Linked DNA regions of Mus musculus: region 2 is reported to be linked to region 1. The links are microRNA targets in miRTarBase. Many come from high-throughput screens and were not tested one by one. Region 1 holds a microRNA gene; the other region holds the end of a gene's coding sequence.
The links. Region 1 holds the annotated microRNA mmu-miR-340-5p (UUAUAAAGCAAUGAGACUGAUU, at 4,016-4,037, opposite strand). A microRNA usually pairs through its seed, bases 2 to 8, with sites in the 3' UTR of a target mRNA and lowers its output. Matches are read on the target gene's strand: a 7mer-m8 pairs with bases 2 to 8, a 7mer-A1 pairs with bases 2 to 7 and ends in A, and an 8mer does both.

Region 1 (7,000 bases):
AAAAATTAGAAAGAACTAAAACCAGAATTTCTCTGATCATAACACAAGCAAATCAAGCACCATTAGCTCTACCCCACAGCAGACTCTAAATTGGAAACGAGGCAGTTCTTAATACACAGGTCGAAGAAGTGTTAAGTGAAAAAATATTCCAGGCTGACTGAGCATGCTGGTGCATGCTATCATCCCAGCACATGGGGGGCCTGAGGCAGGAGAACACACAACTGAATGAAAGCATGTGCCGAAACCAGTTAGGGAGAGCTAAAACAGTGCAGAGAGAAATGTATAGCACAAAATGTGTGCATTACAAGAGAAACCACTTCAGTCAAATGACCTGTTGACTTGATCTAAAATGTAATGCTTTAAACATTTAAAGAAAATCTTTGTGTGATAAAGAGCTTTTTTACAATTGATACCAAACATACAGTTTCAAGGAAAAATTCATATTAAACTTTACCAAAATTAGAAAATCCTTAACAATTTGTTTTTCAAGACTATTAAAGTGACTGAATAGACAAACTGGGAAGAAAATATTTTAAAGCACATTATCAGACATAGCAAATATCATATCTAAATACATAAAGAGTCTAAAAACTCAATGGTAAGGAGTGGTTAAGAGCACTGGCTGCTCTTCCAGAGAACCTGGGTTCAATTCCTAGCATCCATACGGTGGTTCACAACTGCCTGTATCTCCAGCCCCAGGATATCTAACACTCTCCCTATTTTCCAAGGTGACTGTATGCAAGTGGTGCACAGAGACAAGGATTTAAAATCCTCAACAGTAAAAGACAAAGAATTCAGGAAGAAAACAGGGAAGAGACTCAAGACATTTCACTGAAGCACTTGAAAATATGCTCAGGGTAGGGAGATGGCTGTCAGCATGGTGCCTGCTATACAAGTATGAAGACATGAAACTACATTTCTGTACCCACAAACTTGGGTGCAGTGGACATAATACACACACACACACACACACACACACACACACACATACACACACACACACACAGATGCTCATATAGGTGACAATGGGAGAAATGCACACTATAATCACAAAAGAAGTGTTATTCTATCAAATCATGTCAAGATGTGGAGAAACTGGAACAGCCACACACTGGAAAAGGGCACACTTTAAAAACAGCAACAACAACAACAAACCTGAATTAAACATTTATTTATTCAGTATTATACTTTTATTCTAGGAAAATGAAAACTCATGGTCAGACAAAAACCAGTACATGAACATCATAGCTAATTTATTAGACTCCCTAGCTGAAAATTATTCAGCTATCCTTCAATAAGTGAATAGCTAAGTAAATTATAGTACATCCATACCGTGGAATAGTACTCAGCAATAAAAAGAAAATTACTTATGTGTACAGCTTGGAAGGACTTCAAGGGAACTCTGCTGAACAAAGAAGAAACACAGCTCTCCAGGTGAAGTACACTCTGTCTATTCAACACTCTTGAAATGGCACTAGATGAAGATTAAGTTAGTGGTGCTGAACGGTTAGGGGAAGGGAGAGTCTCTGGCTATGAGAGAATATTGGACCCTTTCCTTACCAAAAAACAAACAAACAAACAAACCTGTCCTACAGCTTTTGTGCTGAGTACATGAATCTGCATGTAATGGAGTTGAACAGAAGCACACATGTCCATGAGCACATATTAAACAGGACAGCTCTAAAGACATCAGTGGGCCCAGTACAGCCATGGATCTGTGCTGTGATATTCACTACTGTTGGGCAAGATGCAACCACTTGGGAAATGGATCTCTATTGCTTCAATAAATAAGAGCAAGGTTACCACTACCCTAATACTAAAAGGAGCTGGTGATGCTGACAAAATGCAAACAACCTTGACCGAAACCACAAGACACAGGACACAGACCTGTGCTCTTCTGAGATGCCAGTATCAGGAAGCAGTAAAGAGACAGCACAACTAAATGTAACACACATTCTGGCCTAACTAATCTGGGGTTTTTGTTGCCCTTAAGGATACTTCTAAGCAGTTCTGGAGAACCTGAGAGAGCCGATAGGTCAGGAAATGTACTGAAAGGACATTCATTTACTGACTTTGATAGTTACAGTGTGATTATGTAGAACAACATTTTCTTTCATTTCTTTTTCTTTTTAAAACTGAGATAGAATATGGCCTGGAACGCCTGCGTAGTCCAACTGGCCTCAAAACCCCGAGTGCAGGTATTACAGGGTACAGCACCATACTTGGCATGTTTTTATCTTGTTGTTGTTGGTCTTGTTTTTAAATATATGACATAAACAAGTATTATCACAAGATCCTCATGGATTACGGCTGGCTAGAGTACTGGTTAGCTCACCTGGTTCCTGTCCCGAGCATTTGTGTACCTGATCTTCTGAATGAAGTAGAATATGAGCCACGCTGAAGAAATAATCATCAAAACAATAAAGGAGATTGACACGAAGACTAGAGAGCCACGGCTGAAGTTCTTTGGCGGCATTCGAGTTCCAACAGCTATTGTCATTTGTACAGAGATGTTTTTCTCCAGATAACTCAAAATATCCTTACCCCTCAATTCTGTTATCATGACAGCAATAATATCTCCCGTGCCTGTAATGTAAAACAAATACACAGACTAAAGTGACATCTGAAATTCATAGACACATCAAATAAATATACACATATGCTCCATAGAGAAATTACCATAATTTTCACTAAGGTTTATAGATTCCAGTTCAACTGACATGAGGCTGCAGCTGTGTAAACTGACAGGCATGAGAACATGTACAGTGCTCCAAACAGGTAACGCATAAAGCAACTGTGGTGTTAACAATGCACAAACTGCCTTACCGGTGCATTAGAAGCACTGTGAAAGCAGCCACCTGTGACTAAATCAGGTTAAGTCTTCAGTAGAAAACCTTTCTATAGCAATCAATCTGGAAAGTTCTGACAGAGAAGCACTGTCATTTACAGTCTGAACAGGTGGTCCTTGCACTACTCATCCTCACACGCACTGCTGAGCAAGGACTGCTCTAAGAAACAGAAAGAAGGGTACTTCTTAGGGCACACACTTGGCTATGGAGTGACAAGTGCCGAACGGCAACATCTTTTACCAACAACCTTTGAAACTAACTTTGGTCTTCTGTCTACAGTAAAGCTCCTTCCAGGGCACTTCTGGAGCTCAAACGCAACAATTTTCCCACCCAGTTTGGAGCCAGCATCTCACATTGCCTCGGCTAGCCTCAGACTTGAGTTTTATGTTAGTTTTCCACCTTGTTTAACCATGCCCAGCGCACTCAAATCCTCTAGGCAGGCCCAAGTTTCAACTTTCTGGACTACTACCCATAATGATACCTAAAACCTTCAGTTCCTAAAAGCTGTTCAGAGTTCTGCCCACAGGCACAACTTTTATAAGTTAATTACAAGGATGGTTCAGTTGTGTTTTCAAGTCCTTTTCTCACATGGCTTCAAGGGCCTGTTTTAAGTCAGAGTGAGCAGCTACTCACCAAGGTCACTTTTGTGAGTATGAAGGAGGATTGTGCATCCAAACACAAAATACCCTCTCAAAACAGCAAGCAGAGACCCCAGACCTGACCTTTTGAAGGCTCTGTCAACAAATATTAGAAACACTTGTTTTGATTTCTTGTTACCTTTAGCAGTCAAGATGAGACACAACAGAAACTCAGTAACAGAAGTTTTGAAAAAAATATAGCTCAATGGAATATATATTTGCATAATACTGTATTCAAAACGGTTTATTCACTTTATTAGAGTAGTAGTTTACCAGTTTATTTTTGCTTAAAAAATCTATAAACAAAAAGGAGACAACAAAATTAAAACTAGCATTATTAAGTTAACATCTGCCTCTGGTGAGTGAGTTAAAAAGAATCATAAAAGAATGCTAAACCAGTTTAAATTTCCATTTAGAAACCTTAAGTTTGTGCTTTTACAATGTTGATCAACAGGCATGATCTGTGGTGTTAAGATACCAGGTATGGCTATAAAGTAACTGAGACGGATCCCACAAACGACATATGACAATCAGTCTCATTGCTTTATAATCACACCAAGTACAATTGGTTTTAGAAATCAGTTCTGAGGCTCCCTCTTGAAGACTCAAGCTGGAAGTGGGGAGAGCTGCACAGGTAGCCAAGGCAACCAATCCAGTAATTTCCTTAACCGAACACTAAATGGGCGCGTCAACTAATCTCAACAGGAAGCTGTTTGGGAAAGAAAAATTTAATTAGTTCAACACTTGTCAATATTCACTGTTAGGAGGACAAGAGTGAATAGATCTCACTGTAGCTTTATCATCCTAGCAAAAAGAGGAGACTGGGCAATGTTGCCAAAGGAGACTGAAAATGATCAAATAAAAAAGTACAGCAGCACATCTGATATTAGTGAAGGCAGTGATCTCTTACAGAAGGTGATGAAGCAAACTACAAACCCTCCTAGGAAAAAAGTTTCTTTCTCCCCAACATCTAGAGCTGGGCTGGGTTCAAAGAGCCTAACAAGATGGCTCAGACATTTACAAATGGGGATGGGACTAAAGAGATGGCTAAGAGCACTGGTTGATCTTGCAGAGGACGAGGTTTGGTTCCCAGCATCAATATGGCAGCTCATAACTACTGTAACTCCAATTCTAGAGGGAACAGACACTCTCTTCTGGCCTTCGAGGGCTCTGTACACATGGTGCACATAGACTCATGCAGGTATACACACACACACACACACACACACACACACAATAAAAAAGTAAATAAACCTTAAAAACAAAACAAAAAACTCTTGGGAGAGTTGGTGCAGATTCAGGAGGGATGATGACAACAGAGGAAACTTAACCCTCAGGATAAAACTAGGATTAGAGTAGCAGTAGCTGGTAGGAGAGAGGGGTTAATTAGACTGAAGTAATGGAAACATTAAACAGATACAAAGAATGTGACCAGATCACCCCTATGCCTGTGTTCTGAAACACCAAGACATGGCTTTGGAGTTCAACAATCATGCAGCTATGTGTTCCTTTTCTACTGCTGTGGTTAAACATCATAGCCAACATAACGTATACAAGGAGGGGCTTGTTTGGCTTATAGTTCCATCATGGTGGGGAAGAATGGCAGCAAACTGTAGGTAGGAACTGGATGCCAAGAACTCACACCTTTTTAAAAACACTGTTAATTTCAATTATGTGTTTATGTGTGTAGCTTTGTGCATGCAAGTTATAGTTGCCTGTGGAGACCAGGAGTCACAGACCCCCTGGAAGGGGGGATACGGGCAGTTGTGAGAGACCTGTTGTGGGTGCTGGGAATTGAACTCAGGTTCTCTCCATGAGCAGAAGAATGCCCTGGAAACCTCTGAGTCATCTCTCCAGTCTCACATCTTGAACCATAAGCACTAAGCTGAGAGAACAGCAGTAAATTTTGGGAATCTTTAAACTTTCAAAGCTGGACTCTACTAATACACTCCTCTTCCAACAAGGCCACACCTCCAACACATCCCCAAATGATACCATGCACCTGAGACCAAGTGTTCAAATACGGGCACCTATGGAAGATTTTCTCACTCACACCACCATAGCTAGTATTAATTCTTAGAGATGGCAGTGAAATAAAGAATATTATGAGTATTATTATAATCCCAGCACTCTGGAGGCAGAGGCAGGTAGATCTCTGTGAGTTGGAGGCTAGCCTGGTCTATAGAGCGAGTTCCAGGACAGTCAGGGCCACACAGAGAAACCGTGTCTTGAAAAACAACAACAACAAAAAGTTATTACTTAACCTCATGTTTATATGTATATGCGTGTGTATCTACCTGTCACTGACTCCCTGGAACTGGTGTTACAGGTGACTGTGAACTGTCCCATATGAGTTCTGAGAACCGAACTCTTTGAGAGAACAGTAAGCACTCACAACTACTGGACCATCTTGCTAGCCTGCCAATTTATTCTTTAATAGGAATTTATGTTGTTTTAGTAACTTAGCATGGCTACTTAAATTTGCAATTCTTCCCTGTAATTCTTCCCTTTTTATTCTGAGAATTTTCTTTTCTTTTTTTCTTCATAATTTACTTATTTTTATTCTATGTGTATTGGTATTATGCCTGCATATACAGACGTTCGTGTGTGAGAGTGCCTGGAACTGGAGTTATAGACAGTTGGGAGCTACCATGTGGGTGCTGGGAATTGAACTCTGGTCTTCAGGAAGAGTAGCCAATGCTCTTAACTGCTGAGCTATCTCCCCAGCCCCAGTATTTTAGGAATTTTCAAATGGAACAGTTTCCATAGTATGGGAGCTTTCAGATAATCTTTGTTTAGATTTGCAAACAGGAAACACTTCTGCCTTTCTACACGAATTTTTTTTTTTTTTTTTTTTGCTGGACCAACTGAGAGCAGATTGTAACCAATAGGACATTTCAATCTTTAATAATTCAACAGTTCTCCTAAGAACAAGGTTACTTCAGATGCACACAATTTATTAATTATATTAAACTTTTACTTCTGATAAAATGTATTTAGTGTTTAATATACTTCGTATTCAGCTATTCTGACTCAGCCTAACAATTCAACCAAGGGCTATGGACCCTGTACCTGGTTGTCTTGTCTCATTAGTTTTCTGAAGGGCTCTAGCATGCCCATGGCACTGCCAGGCCTTGCCTTTTCCCTCCCTCTCTCCTGTAAACCACAGATTATATCCCTAAAGCTAGGCATAAAGGCCTATTCCCTCATTTGGACATTTTCTCATGTAGACTCATTCCTGAGGCTATAAAGGTCCACCAATCAAAACCCCCATGTTAATAACATGACCAACAAACCTTATCACTACATCCTAGCCCACTGTAACACAGCCCCCACTTTTTCTCTTCTCAAAAATTACACCTGCAAAGTCACTTGCTGCTGTTTTTCTGCCTAAGTTAGAGAGCAACCATTTTTACCTTTACTATCAGCTTAATAAGGGATTTCTCTGTGAAAATGGTGTTTGTGTGTGGTTTGTGCCTAATCTGGGCTCTGGGAGGGAGCCCAGCACTGTGA
Region 2 (8,123 bases), not on the chromosome of region 1:
TCCCAGGTTGATCTCCGTGGAGATTTTCATAGCTCTCCTGCACTGCTCTCTAGATTATGCTCAATGGTCTCCCTGTGATAGTGAGCATGGCTTTAACTTTTCCCTCTGTGCCTGCAGCTTGTTTACCATAGCCTGGTGTTTTTCATCTACTTTTTAATCAAGAGTCTTTCAGTCCTTATCTTTCTATTTACAACTGTGCTTCAGTACAGGAGCGTATTTTCCTATGACTTATGCAGATGGGAGAAAAACCAAAATAGATCTTTGAAACACAATGTAATGCCCTTAGAAATACAATGTAGGGCTACTTCTGATAGCATGAATTTCAAAAAATTGCATGTTTTTGTGTGGTCCACGTGATGTTTGGATACATGCATACAGGGAAAACAACTGCCTTTTCCCATGTTTGATCCCTTCTTATTGATTTAGTTTTTAATTGGTTGCCCACAAAAATATATGGGAATGTTCGACTGCTGTATGCCATCTGCAGATCTGTAGAAGACTGTGTGGACACTCCTTACACACTATAGCCCATTGACAGCATCAAGAATGAGAAGGGGAATCTGAGGCAGCACAGCGTCACAGCCTGAGTGCTTTGCGTTTGATTGCAGAGACTGCAGTGACCCCATTCATGGCTTATGCAGCATCTCTCCCTCACTTCCTCCTCTCTGTATCTGCAGAGCTGTAATACTTCCTCTCTGATGCAGAGGGAAAACAAAGGCTTTTTGACAAAGAAATAGGTTGAATCTTTTTTGTTGTTGTTGTTGTTTTTTCAAGACAGGGTTTCTCTGTGTAGCCCTGGCTGTCCTGGAACTCACTTTGTAGACCAGGCTGGCCTAGAACTCAGAAATATGCCTGCCTCTGCCTCCTGAGTGCTGGGAGTAAAGGCGTGCGCCATCCTACAGTTTAGCCCTGTGAACCCTGGGCACATTTATGTCCCTTTGTATTTATCTCATAAAATCCTGAGGGTAACCCTTCTTGTGTTATTAGTAAGGACTGGAAGCAATAAAGTCCTGACAGTGGTGGGTGTCTGGCTCACTATAACATATTTGTTAATAAAAATAAACTCGGGGCTGTAGATATGGTTCAGAGGTTAAAGAACACTAGCTGTTGTTCTAGAGAATGTAGGTTCAATTCCCAGCACCTACGTGGTGGCTCATAACTGTCTGGGACTCCAGTTCTAGGGAACCTGATGCACTCTACTAGACTCTGGGAGCACCAGGCGCAAACACATATGCAGGTCAAACATCCACACACAAGAGAAAAAGACTTGATAAGATTTCTAAAAAAAAAAAGAAAAAATTATATTACTCAGTGGCTGAACAGGTATGGTAGTGTGTATTAGTTAATAACATGGGTCTTTGAGCCAGTTTGTATCCACTTCTCAACTCTCACTCGTGAGCCATTTAACATTTGCAAAATAAGAAATAGAACCTACCTTTAACACCATTGTCAGTCTTGTGTTTTGTTTACTTTCTGACAAGCACTGGGATACTGCCTAAAGTCTGTGTCTCAGGACTGACTATGTAAGGGTGTATGACATATGCACAACTCTGCCTGGGCTTATATTATAAAAACATAACTGATTTTCAGGCTTCGTTTTCATGTTTATAATTTTATGTCGTGTTGTCCTAAAACACATCAGCATAAGAAGGGGAGAGATGCAAGTGTTTTCTGGGTGTCTGTATCTCTGCCCACTCTGACCCTCTGCTGTGCTTTTTCCAGTGTCACTGCAAAGATAAAAGCCATTGAAGCAAAGCTGAAAATGATGGCAGAAAATCCTGATGCAGAGTACCCAGCAGCGCCTGTTTATTCCTACTTTAAACCACCTGATAAAAAAAGGACTACTCCTTACTCTAGAACAGCCTGGAAGTCTCGAAGATGATGGTCGTGAATTACCAGAGCAGCAGAAGCAAATGGTCTCCACGTCTGAAGTCCTTCGCCTCTGTACTGTGTAGATGTGAATGGTACTACCAACAGAGCACAGTCTCTTGTTAGGGCCGGTGACATAGCGTGTTTGGGTGTTCATATGGATGTGTCTTCCCTGAACTATGTGTGAATTGAGCATCATCCAGAATAAATAGGAATGTGTCCAGACTGTGATGTGAACACTGAGATGCGCTAGTTGGCTGCTTTGTTTGGATTTGTAACTCCAGAAACACAATGTGCCAGAGAGAAAAACAAGCATACAACGTTGTTATTTAAATCAGGAAACTAAATGTATTAACATCCACCAAAAACTTTTAGCATTTTTATGTGTACACTTCTCTTCAACATAAACAAAAAATAAGGGTGAGGGTGGAAAGTGAGAGACGTTTACAGTCATTTTTAGAACTGTTTGGGAATGTACTGTAGAAATCCTTCAGTTGAATTCAAAAGAGAATTCTTGGCAAAAAGCAGCTGATCCCTTGAGTGAATGTTGTAGCAGTCTGTTTAAGAATTATGCTTATTATTTCCAAATCTCAGTTAGGAAAATGTGGTATACGTCTTAAAATTGTTTATGTCGTCAAAGTGTAGAGACACATTTAACATTTTATACCACAACAGATACTCTATTTGGAAATCCAGCTTTTATTCTTTGGCAATCATGGTTTTGAATCTGAATGACCTTGCCTTCTATAATACCAAATGTTATTACTAACCCGGGTTTTAATACACTTACTGCATGAGATTGTTTTATAGCATGGGGTTGTTGCAGTTAGAACTGTATCATGATCAATCTAAATAGAAAAGCAGAATTTCTTTGAAAACCTAAAGTTTGCTGTATTGGTTACTGTCAAGCATTACTTTGTCACAGTTGTATGGGGCTGTAAGAAGCAGCTGAGTGACCTTGTTGCAGCTGAGAGAGAAAGTGCAGTGAGCAGCAGGAGTCAGCAGCCGGTGCTCAGGCATCAAGACCGTAACAACCACACTCGTTCTGTCCTTTTGGAAGACCGCACGGCCTAAAACTGAACGTTACCCTGAAAGCATGCTTCTCTCCAGATATCTCTGTCTCCTTGGAGATATGAACATGGTAGTATAGAGACACACATAGACAGACAGCCTTGGGAATGTGTTTCTTCAGCTCAGTGCTGATTGAATTGGTGCCGGGCCTGACAGACTGTTCATTAGCAACACCGTTCTTCACTGAGCAGGTCACTGTCGCTCACCACAGGTGCCACCCATGATGACTTGGGTTGTAGAGACACTTGACTTAACTTCTGGGGTTTCAGAATCCACAGAACTGTTTCAGAGGAATTCTTACTGCTTTTCCCAAGTCGGTTTTTTAGCTATCTTTAGATACTGAATATGTCCCAGATTTATCAGTTGTGTGTATCTGTGATGTGGGAAACTCTCCTTCCACTTGGGAGCTCATTCAGGGAAGTGGGAACACCGGCTCCCATTTGTCTGGTGACTTATTAGAATATAGAATTCACCATTTCATCCTTAAGTTCTCAAAGGGTTGTGGTGGAGTAGAATTTGATGCCAATAGCCTTCTATTTTTAATAGGAACCTAGAGAATACTTAGGATTATCTAGAGTTGTTTCTTTAGAATCTAGAACTATTTATTTGTATTTAAACAATGTCTATGATTTGTACCAATTCTTACCCCTCTATGTGAATAAACGCAAGACGACAGTATCTATGTGGTCTTATTGTCTTTCATCCACGTCCTGGATCACAACTTTCTGGTAGACTGGTTTCCACTCAAATCGGCCAGGAGCTTATCCACGTGACGTGCTGCTTTCAAGTGCCTTCTTTCCAAAAGGCTCCACGGGCCAAGTCTCTTCATCCCTTTCCCTGCCTAGCCTTGCCCTTAGAGGTGAGGAAGGGGACTAGGTGGCCTCCTGGCACAGGTGGCTGAAAGGAAAGTAGGAGGTTGAAGTCCCTGCATGCCATGAATGTTCCTTCTCTCTAAGTACAAGTTTTCACAGAATGAATGTGCACATTGTAAATACACTGAAAGGGTCTGATGAGAAGCTTTGAATTACAGCTGTTAACCCAGGCTATTAAGAGATCGTCTGTACTTTGAAATTATTCTTCGGTTGCTATTTGTCAACATCATCTCACTTTTAATTTTGACTTGAGTGGAGAATTGATGGGAATACTTAGGTAGGACTGGAGGGTTGATGGGAATACTAAGGTGGAAGTGTGACATTACTCTAACCTGTTGGGTTTCTTTACTTGGCACCTCAGTGTTTGGGGGAGGGGTCACCTGAGGAGACATTACTCAAAGCATGCTGTAAATCAGGAAAGCTCTTTTTTATGAAGCCATGCATTCTACAACCCCATCTCTTACAAAGATGAGCAGCTAATTTCCAAATTCACCCATCCATTTCTGATTCTTATACTAGGGCAGAAAAGATCAAGGTATTCTTGCCTTATAAATTAAATGTTAAACATTTCCTGTGTATAATCACCGTGTTCCTAAAATATTTGAACCCCACAAATCTGTCCTTGATTTCTCTTTTTGGTTTTTTTTTTCTTCTAGCTCCTATATGGTCCATCTTGCAATACCTTACTAATAATCTGCACCACCCCCTGCCCCCACCTCTAAAGTTGCCCTGCTTGAGAGTATTTGAACTGAGGGAGTTGAACGAAGGAATTTGCATACACTAGATAAGTGCTCTTATCGTTGAACTACATACTTAGCCCTTTACTTGTTTTTTCATGTTGAGAAATTATCACATGCTATAACCCAAGTAGGCCTTGAACTTGTGTCTCAGACCTCAAGCAGCTGGGATAACAAATCTTGTCACAAGACCCCACAAGCCTTCTTTAAAAATTGTTTTGAAATGTCATTCTCAAGCTATATACAGTAGCATGTATCTGTAGTCATAGCTACTTGAGAGGCAGAAGTAGAACCATTTAAGTCCAGAAAGTCTTAGCCTGCACACCATAGCAAGACTTTTAAAAGTTTAGATAAATAAACAAACATTTGACGGCTTTCCATCACATCTAGACTATAATCCAAAGATCTATATGGTCCCAAACGACTTACACTTAACTACCGTCTCCCATATGGCTTCTTCCCCCATCAGTCATTGTCCTCAGCCATAGTGGCCTCCCTGTTCCTTTGGGTACAAGGGAACAACTCCCTGAGAGGTTCCATTAGCTGCTGTTGCCTGAGATGCTCTTGAGCCCACACCATCTGCTCATTTCTCTCCTCACGTGTCAGTGATTAAGAGGCTGTCCTTGGCCTCCCGTCAAAATTACATCCCTGCCGCTTTCCACTTCTTGCCTTCTTATTTTCTAAATAGAACTAACTCACCACTACCCAACATTCTATATAATTGGATATCTGTCCTCTGTTTAAATATAATGTTGACTTCAAGAAAGAACGTTGTCACTGCCCTGTCACCAGACTTTTAAACAGTGCCTATCGTGTGGCACATGCTCAGTGAAATTGCTGAGTGAGATACTAGGATGCCAGTTGCTTGAAACTCGAAGAGACTTTTGAGACCATCCTACGCCACTCCCTTGTGATCCAGGTGGGAAGTAGGGAAACCCAGAGAGATGATGGGGCTTACACAGGATCATACAATTAATAGATGGCACAGTTTCAGTGTGTCCTTCAAGGGTTCATGTGATGAAGCTGAGCCCCCATTGTGAAGTATTAAAAGGCTGGACAATTGAACCAAGTTGGTGGCACATGCCTTCGATCCCATCACTTAGGATATAAAGGCAGGTGGATTTTTGTGACTTCAAGGCCAGCCTGGTCTACAGAGTGAGTTCCAAGCCAGCCAAAGCTACAGTGAGACCCTGTCTCAAGAAAAAAGAAAATGGAAAGTTGAAGAGGGACAAGGAAGGGGAGGAGGACCAGTAGGTGCATGTATGCATGCTTACTCCCTGAGAGTCATCTTGCATACCTCACATGTAAACCTCAAGACCCTGTCAGTAAGAAGGCCATCATTAGATGCCATCCCTTGACTACTGGTGGACCTCCAGAACTGTGCTGAAGTTAACCTCTCTCCTTTAGCTATAAGGTAGCCTACCTCGTGTACTTTATTATGTACTTCAAGCACAGCACAATAGAAGAGCTTTAGGTAGAATCTAAATATGTCAGGCCTACAAGCATCTCCCCAAGTAGGTGGTGCCTCGGCAGAGTGACACACGCTGCCTCTTTTTGTACAGCTGTGAATGTAAGTGGTTGAGGGAAAAAGTCAAAGACTATCATCTTGTGGCACATGAAAATCAAATTTCAGGGTCCAAGGAAGTTTTAATTAGAACACAGATGTCCTCATGAATTCACATTATTGATTCTCAGGCCATTTTTCACTCTAGCAACATTCGAGTGGTTACACCAAAAATTCATGGGTCCTCAAAGCCTGAAGTATATACATATCTGCTCTAAACTGCCCTGTTACTGGAAATGTCTTTCTGCCGAGGAAACATACTTATTCCACAACCATGGTGCCACCATGGTAAGTATAGAAAGTACAGGAAGCAGATGACATAATGGTATGCAATGAGTGTTATTATTTTCTCCTTTCTCCATATCTATTATGTGCATGAGAGGGTTTTTTGGTTGTTTTTTGTTTGGTTTGGTTTTGGAGGTTGTTTGGTTGGTTTTTGGTTTTGGGTGTTTGTTTGTTTGTTTGTTTGTTTGTTTTTGCCTGCATGTATGTGCACCATGTGCATCCAGTGCCCTCAGAGGCCAGAAGAGAGTCAAGTCCTCTAGAACTGGTGTCAGAGATAGTTATGAGCTGACACATGGGTCCTGAGAACTGAGACCCTGTCTTCTGGAAGAGCAGCCATTGCGCCAGCCTCCTGTTGCTAGTTTCTTATTTGCCTCTGGAATAGGGAATTGCCTATACCAACCTAGTATCACTGTACTGCAAATGACTGCAACCTCCTCATTGACCACATGAGGAAGCCAAGCCATGTGCACACTAGCATCAGATGTCCCTGAGTTAGTTTTCCAGTCCCAGTCAGAATTCTTTCAGCTCATGTGACAAAAATCAATGTTCCAACCACCTTGTAGTATGAATTTTACTGGCTCCTGTAACTAAAAATCTCAGGTATTCATATGATACGTCTAGAGGTCTGTCTCTGGATTGTGGTTCCCTTTTGATTACATCCTTTCGTGGGCAAAGCTCTTCTCTTCCTAGTGGTCTCTGGAGAGGAGAGAGATTTGAATCTTGGGTTCAAGCAATCAGACCAATGAGATCTGTCCCAGAACATAGGGCACAGGTGTTACCTTTTTACATTCACTTTCAGCCCAACTTTTATTAGGAGTATTGATTACACAGAATGACATTTTATGTTTCCATATGCCCTGTGACTAGGATAGAAATATCATTAAAGCCCCAAGAGGACCTTCCCCCTTCTCAGGAAAGAAGGGGAGGGGGATGGAGGGAGGGACTGTGTAAGTGTGGGACCAGGAGGAAGGAGGACAGCAACAGGGATATAAAATGAATAATTAATGAATGAAAAAAAAGAAAGATCATTAAAGTGGTAGGTAGCCTTTTTTCCTCCCTAAAATTTCTACTATTTGAGAAGCTGTTTTTGCCCCTCCCCACAGCTAAGGAAACATATTCCACAGCCATAGACTATGGCCATAAGGATGATAGAATCTAATCCCAATATATGGTCACATACTGTGATAAAACAAGAACAGAGGAGAGATCTCTGCCCCAGGTAGGGGCAGAGATGAGTGAATAATGTTTTCCCAGAAAATGGCTGTGCTAAGCCAAGGACTTAAGTAGAGAGCCATAGGTAGGGGGAGGGGGGTGGAGAGAGCAAATGGTCAGCATAAGAGCGCTTGGGATTTAATTGCTATGGAAGTAAGCTCTGTCCAGGTACCTGTATGTGTAGAATAAACCAGGCTTCGGTGCTTTTACAGTTTCCCCAGTGTGCTGTCCCCTAGCCCCAGGAGACTCGATAGTACAAACTAGAGAATCTCCCAGATTCATGGACCATCATCCCTGCCCCATACAGAATTCTTGTAAAGGCATTCCTTCTGCTTAGAAAGTAATGCTCGCCCAGCTAGCAGCTCTCCGACACTTGCCTAATATATCTTTCTGTAAATCTATAAAGGTTGACCCAAAGCAGTTACTTACTACCTCTCTGCTCTTTAAATACTAAATTCTATTTTAGCATCTATCACCATACAATCTGCTTTGTCATTTAACAGTGATCACCAC

Region 2: the mRNA of Rbm18 is a reported target of mmu-miR-340-5p. The part of its 3' UTR that is shown has no 7-base or 8-base seed match.

The regions. Positions count from the first base shown.
Region 1 is chr11:50,066,757-50,073,756 of GRCm38, reverse strand. Mir340 (microRNA 340) reads right to left here and starts at 4,055; the gene lies at 3,958-4,055. It overlaps Rnf130 (ring finger protein 130), which reads right to left. Exons shown (of 9, transcript NM_021540.4): 3 at 2,336-2,586.
Region 2 is chr2:36,111,574-36,119,696 of GRCm38, reverse strand. Rbm18 (RNA binding motif protein 18) reads left to right here. Exons shown (of 6, transcript NM_026434.4): 6 at 1,723-3,618. The coding sequence ends at 1,882. Among named protein-coding and RNA genes, the nearest start is that of Lhx6, 12 kb to the right of the region's middle.